Linked DNA regions of Drosophila melanogaster. The protein of the gene in region 1 interacts with the protein of each later gene in a pairwise test. Each region holds a gene or a part of one and is shown on either strand. Other genes may lie near its edges.

Evidence for each region.
Region 2: the proteins of CG14563 (region 1) and Vmat interact in a two-hybrid assay, tested with the Drosophila melanogaster proteins (one large-scale study listed by BioGRID).

What each region holds. Positions count from the first base shown.
Region 1 is NT_037436.4:21,841,001-21,844,413, reverse strand, and holds CG14563 (uncharacterized protein), read left to right. Parts: upstream 1-2,027; 5' UTR 2,028-2,058; coding exon 2,059-2,356; intron 2,357-2,436; coding exon 2,437-2,507; 3' UTR 2,508-2,606; downstream 2,607-3,413.
Region 2 is NT_033778.4:13,528,055-13,531,988, forward strand, and holds the start of Vmat (vesicular monoamine transporter), read right to left. Parts: upstream 1,822-3,934; 5' UTR 1,457-1,821; intron 333-1,456; 5' UTR 312-332; coding exon 1-311.

The DNA.
Region 1 (3,413 bases):
CGGCTCCAGTTGCACTCCTATATGATTTTAAGTTTTAATTAGCTTTTTGTTGCTGCTGTAATTTCGACAGCAAACAAAAGTTGCTGCTGCATCAAATTTTTAATTAATTACACGTAAGAATGCTGAAAAATTGATGGCTACAAGGAGGTTTCTTTCGTTTCGGACAAACAATTAGCATTTTACTGTCCCAAATATGATGCGAAAGTATGAGGGTAAATGAATGAAAAGTTTGTAGAAGTTTTGTAAGGGATAGCTTTCAATTTTTCCATCGGAAAGTGGGGACGGGAGTTAGGCTCGGCATAGACAAACTTTTTAATATGAAAATTGCTCGTTTGGGGTTTGGAAAATTAAGTCCTTAAATTGGGGACTGGGGAAGCGTACCCTTTCTAGAATGTTAACTTTCAAGGAGGCATTTTTAATGTCGAGAGATAGAATTTCAAAGTCGTAATATAACCATAATTTCCTTCTTATAAATAAAACTTACAGACACACATTTTTTTTAAGAATATAAGGCGTGTTCACTATGCATTATATGTAATATTATTTTGGGTCATTGTAAAATATATTATTATTTGATAATAGTTTTAAGCTTAATTTATTTGCACAAGATCTCAATTACAATCTTTTTATGAAACCCTTTTAAATAGTACACAAATTACCAAGCCGAATTTATGAGCAAGTCACTCGGCTCAAACAACTGAGGCTACTTTAATATAGGGTGTCCCGAAATCCGTGCACATCCAGGCTTGAGCATGCGTAGTCGGCATCCGGCCGGAGCAACTCACTCAACTACTGGAGGTCAGCGGGAATGCAACACCTACGAGGCTCAAACCTACCTGAGCTACCTGGAGTAGTGCGGCAAAGAAGAGAGAGTCAGAAACCACCCCGGCAGAGAGAGTGAGAGAGAGAGAGAGTGAGTGAGCGGGCGGCGGAAGGCAAACGTCAGCTGCATGGGAACCCAAAGGCGGGACAATTCCAATTGTGACATTTTGCATTGTTGGCCAGTGTAATGACACACACCTACACGAACACGAATGAGTTGGGTACGGGAAAGGCCTTAAATATTTATGAATGGCATGTTGTATACTTTTCGGGCACATATGCAAGAGCTACAAAGTGTATTGAGAACAATTCCTTGCAATTGCCCACGACTTGCGTTTTTCACATTTTTAAAAGCTTATTTACTATGCGAGATGTGTAAACCCACCGTATCTAACATCACTAAATTACTAAGTTGTAAGCCTACTTTCATAGCCAAGAAGAATAAATTAATCTATAAGTACATTGAACTTTCCATTATGCAGTTCTCAAGTATCACTTTCCAAACCGACAGATTCGCATTGTGGAATAGTTTCAGCGTCGATGCATGACCACCAAGGCCAAAATTCTGTAGCCAAAAGTCCCTCAAACTGAACTCTCGGCCAACGACCAAGCTGATCGCAGTGGAAAATCCGAAAACCAATACGATTCCAATTATCAGAATCGGAGTTATTACGGTTGACCTCATCCGAAGGGCGTGAATGAGCATTGACCACGGTCCAGGTCGGCAATGAACCTCAAAGAAGTGGAAAGCACCACTGGCATCGCACATGACTAGGCGGACCATCAACCAATTTTAAGGTTAATGACTGTGTTTACGCAGAATAAATGTGAACCCCTGGCAAAAAAAGCGGCTGACTGACTAATTTAAATTGATAGCAAAACGGCAATCACAAATCAGACGAGATGTGGGATGAGTAATCGCGGCGATAGGCAAAAAAGAGCCAAATAGTTTTGTTTTGTTTTGTTCTCTTGTTGTTAACTTGCACTAAATACATACGTTTGCAGAGCGTTTATATTGGGATTTAAAAATATTGCGTATACGCCGGCTGGGTTACGCACGAACGAGCAAACCGAGCAGCCGCTGATGGGCGCCCGATTAAGCTCCATTAAAAAAGCGTTTTATGCTTTAAAATTGCAAACATTCGGCGGCAAACTCTATAAAATCAGTTAATGCCGGGGTTTTTGCATTCAGTCAACGTTCGAGGATTACACACGATAAACATGGCCAGAAAAATCATGTCAGTGAAACAGTCGAGCCGCTCTCCATGTTGTTGGTTCGGTTTGCTCCTGGTCGCCATTTTCCTGCAGCCATCCGCGAGCCAATACTACGGTTATCCCTATTACGGCGGCGCTAATGCGGGAGCGGGATCGGGATACGGGAACATATACGGCAGCGGCATGTACGGATACCCCTACAGCTACGGCGGATATCCGTACTACTCGTATCCCGGCTACAACCCGTACTCGATGTACGGTGGATACGGGCAGTACGGATACCCCTATGGAGGATATCCCTACGGCGGCAATGGCATGAGTGAGTTTCCCGACTGATAGCACCTCGGTGCCTAGCACACAAGTAATCTACAAGTGTTTTGGACCTGTTTCTTCCTCTAGACGTGGCCTACGCCAGCAGCAGTGGAGGATTCGCAACAGCCAGTGCGGGTGGAAGCGGATACTACGGCTAGGAAGCGCGAAACCTGATATAGTTTAGTGATAGGTATACGGTTAAGTCATCCTACCCCATAAGTGTGTTAGTGCTAATAAATATGATATTTATGTTCTATAAGTCAAGACTTATTCTTATGACGTGTCCAAAACTAGTGTACCTGGTAAAAAATTGTACACCTAACTAGTGCCTTCATGTATACCACCATAATTTTATTAGCTCCCGGAACTGATGTGATAATTTGTATGTCTTTTAGCACATTTGACCCTATGTATGTTCCGCCAAGTTTATGCTGCCATGACTCTTTGTGGGATCATTAGATCCTTTTCTCAGCTTTTAGCTTTGAGTCAATAACTACGTACGCATATCTGGTCGTTTTAATAGTTATAAAAAAGCCTTGAGGCTGTGATCCCATATATAACCATATACCGAAAAATATTTTTTGCTTCGTGATAACAAATCGACAAAGTTTGATCCATGTGCATTCTTGGCGCCTTATCGATAGCTATGGACAGTGTTGTAAGGTGCACGATAGTAAGGGGGGCAAAATTGTATCGGTCTGCCGATAGTTCCCGGCCGTTAGCCAAGTCCAAATTCGACCGACCGACCAATAGTCTCGCAAAACACAAAACAAAGGCACACCACACTTCGTGCTCTCGCCGAATTCCGCCGCCGTCGCCTGAAACTCACACAAAGTAAGCCCGAAATCAGTGGAAAAGCGCCGAATAGTCGAATTGCAGGTTCAAATGGGATGGACGGCGACTTAAAAGGCGGAGGCCAATAGGCGGCATAAAAACATTGTATTGCGTAATTGGGGCCAATAAGAAAAGCAAAAAAACAAAGCCAACCGACTGCATTCTATTGCGCCTGTGTGTGTGCTTGTGTATCTACAGCTGAGCAGTAAATAAATTTGTTTTACATTTGG
Region 2 (3,934 bases), on another chromosome or scaffold:
CGTCCTGCGTAGGTCTGCGACTGGTAGGTGGGCGGCGGCGGTACCGGTGGCTCCTTGCCGACGCCCATGATGCCGCAATCCGGCTCCATATTGCCATTCTGTTGATTGCTGTCCAACTGCTGCTTGAAGGGATTTTTGCTGGGCGTATTGCTGGCGGGTCCGCCGGGAATCTGTTGCTGCTGGCTGTTGGTGGTGGTGTTTGCGTTTACGGTGAAGGAGGTGGTCTCGCTAATCTCCGACTGCTTCTGGGGGGCTGTGCTCTGCGTGTGTTTTCTTGGTCCACCATTGCCCGCATCGGTCGATGATTGCATTGCGTCGCTAGCCGCTGGTTGCTACGAATGGCAAGGCAGTAAGCCGATTGTCTTTTTAAAATGTAATCAAATCAAGAGTAAGCAGCTTTCCCATACCAATTCCCATTCCCAATCGCATTTCCATGCCCATTCCCCTTCCAAATCAAATCCAAAAGTCGCACGCTCGCTTTATGCCCCAATGATTTTCGCTAATTAAAAGTAAATTACAAGTCTTGGGGCTGGCAATTAAGAAGCGTATCTTTCACACGGCAACACGACTCTAATTGAATCATACGCAATTTAAATATTTATTTAATTGCCTGCCACCCCGGAGCACTACCAGCAAACACACGGGGCGTATGCGCAACATTTGTAATTTTGACATTTTCTGTTGCCTATCGCCAGGCGCAAATTCAATTTGCCAGCATAATTCGCTCGCAAAGTCTCACAAAAGGGAGTCGAAAAAGAGAGGCAGAGTTCTTTAAGTTTTCGGTTGTAAAATTGAATTAACCCACTGCTTTTAGCAAAAAAAAGAAAAGGTCTCGTAATTGAAGGCGTAGATGAATCAAGTCTTCCGCCAATAGTCTTTGCATAATGCCTTCTCAATTTACTTTGCAATTGATCAAGTTTACAATTGATGCCTGTCCCGTCGTACAATTGATTGTTTATGACGTCTTCGTATTGATAAAGTGTTGACATTGAATGACAAATGAAAATTATCTGACAAATAGACGAGGAAGCTGCTGAAAGTTCATACAACTGCAACACGTTTGGGGGCGTGACAAACAAACGGCAGCAAATTTTGTCATTTCAATTGATTAAATCAACTAGAATTGGCTGCCTAAATACAAAGCTGTTGCGTTAGTTATAGTATTGTACAAGGGAAATCTGGCATCGTTTTAATTAGCCCGTATATTTGTCCATTAATCTCTGTTTTAATTGCGCTACTGTTGTTTATGGGAAGATTTTTTAATGGCTAACAAATGGGATAACTTTTTATAACAAGGGATAAGTTGTATTCATATAAATAAACAAATATCGGCTCTGTTTTCTAGGATATATAGTATTCTATTCTTTCTCATCCCTTTGCCAAAATGCACTTTCAATTTAATGTGCATTCTTTAGAAGAAATTATATGATGTTAGATATGAAGTTCAATCATTTACCTGGCAGCTTTTCCTGATTTAATAGATCTGGAGATTAATGCTCCACAAACTGAACTCTCGCCCCTAGAATATCACGTGCACTAATGAACCTGAATCTGCTTTAACGACCGATATTTATATGGCTTTTGGCTAATCACTGAAAGCCGCCAGAAATGCGCACTGAAATCCCAATTAGCCGATGACTCTGTTGATCAAAATCAAAATCACAAGTTAAGGCTGTGTGTTTTGCATTTGGGAAGTGCTGATGTTTGTCTGGATTGCACTTTCTTTTTCACAATTGGTTCACTTTGGAATCTTTTTCGGGGTGGATCGTTCATTCCGCGGATTCCAATTCTACCGACAAGTCGGCGCTCTGAACTCAAACTAAAAACTTTAGCGTGCCGCCGGCGGTTTATTAAACGAATTAATTTTGAGCAAGCGAAAAAGATTCGCTTAGTTTTTTTTTCTATACAAAAAGTGCTGGAAGCGTAGTAAATGCATGGGTCTTTGCATTTCAAATGAATGCACAATGAAAAGTGTGTAAAATACATTTTAATAATTATTAATTAACAATTGGCATGCGATTTTGGTTTATGGGCGTGGGAAAATTCGATTCAAACAAAAGATACTGTTTTTTTTTTTTTAGATTTCAAATTATGCTAATTCATTGGATTTTCAAGTTTGACTTTCAGAGCCTGAAAGTTGAACTTTTTCATTTCGATTTGATTCAAATCGAACTTGATTCAATTGCTAAAACAATTCTTGAGTACATATCGCGTGTATGTTTTTATTCCATACCAGAATAATGCATGTAAACCAGGAGAATTTATTGCAATTTTTTTAATTCAAAGTTTTAATACTCTTTCAAAAGCTGAAGTACCAGTATACCATTCAAATTTTCAATAATTCAAGTTTTAGAAATACAATTTTTTTGAAATTTGTGTGAAGTTCCATATATATTATCTTTAGAATAGAGAATATAACATAGAATTCCTGCATTGAATTAAATTGAGCTGCATGTGCGATGCGATGTGACGAATGCGATTGTTTAATTCTTTATTTATGTTCCCTCAGATATTTATTTTGATTACTGTTTGTCGTTGCTTTTTTGTTTAATTGTTGTTGCTGCTGCAGCTTGTGCTAATTGCCCAAGATTTTTCAAATGGCGACGTTGGTTTAAAATGTAGTGGCTTGCTGCCTCTTCTGAGCATCGGCACGCAACTTTATTTAAATTGTGCCCATTTTTCAGTTGTGTATTAATTAAAACGTAGCTCATGCCTGCGCTTAGTCAGTGGATTTGAGCTTGACATTGAGGCAGATGGAAGAGACCTCGGTTTATGGAAGGCCATAAACTGGTTTTCCCGTATAATCAACCAGGAATTGGCAGCCCTTCAAGTCGGCTTTTTATCCAACATTTAATTGCTGTACAAATTTGCACCGACGCCCGAAGGTGCAGCTGATTATACTTTTTTTTTCCACCAACTAGCTATAAATTGCAATTTTAATTGGAAAACGGTAGCGAGATACATAAATATATAGCTGGGGCGTGTAAATGAGGCCCCTTTTAAGCTAATTAGCACAAATCTATTGAAGCAAAAAAGATCGAAACGTGCCAATAGTAGGCTTCAATTGAAAACTTTACAAAAGTACCATTTAAAAACAATTCTTTGTAATTTGAGCTTAAATTGCAAGATTTTTTAAGCTCTGGAATATGTACATATTTTGTTTATAAAATTAAAATCAATATCTTGATATGCGAGTTGGAACTTCTGCATCTTAAAAAATTGAATGCATCCCTCTTTCATTCACAATTTAGGAAACTGTTACAATATTTTAGAAATATAATGTTCTTTAGGTTCTTCATGCGTTTTTCAAAATCTTTTCTATATAAACACCACTTTCCCACTTTTGCATTTTAACTTACCTGAGTAATTTCTTATAAGCGACTCGTTTAGCTTTCTTTGGGGGAAATTCTGCGGAAAAATGGTTTCGTTGGGCGAATGGGTTGGGTTTTTGTGTCTGTGGTCTGCTAAATGCCAATGAGTCTATTGCAAATTGCCAGTTGATGAAGTCAGGTAGTTGTTGTAGCCGGATTTTTTTCGGGTGAGGTTGTGCGTTGTTGGAGTATTCCTGTGGGAGAATCGACAAAGGAAAAAAAGAAACGAAGTCATTTAAATAAAGACGCTTAAAGCGGATTTGCAATGTCTCCGGTGGCCCAGAGACTTCTGCTGGCGGTGGCCACTTGTGGATTCAGTGTTTTGTGATGCCACTCAAGAGGTTTTCCTTTGAGGGGAGTGTTTGTTCTTCGCTGGGCTGGCGGCAAGGTCGTTGGCCAACAAAAGACAAGCAAAAGTGGGCATTATAAGAGATCTTAAATAATAATACATTAAAATGTTGAGAACCTTATGCAACGATATATACTATAACTGTACATTAAACAAAATAATGTTAGGAGTAACCACCGAGTGCTGAAAGCAAATACGATTGAATATATTTGCG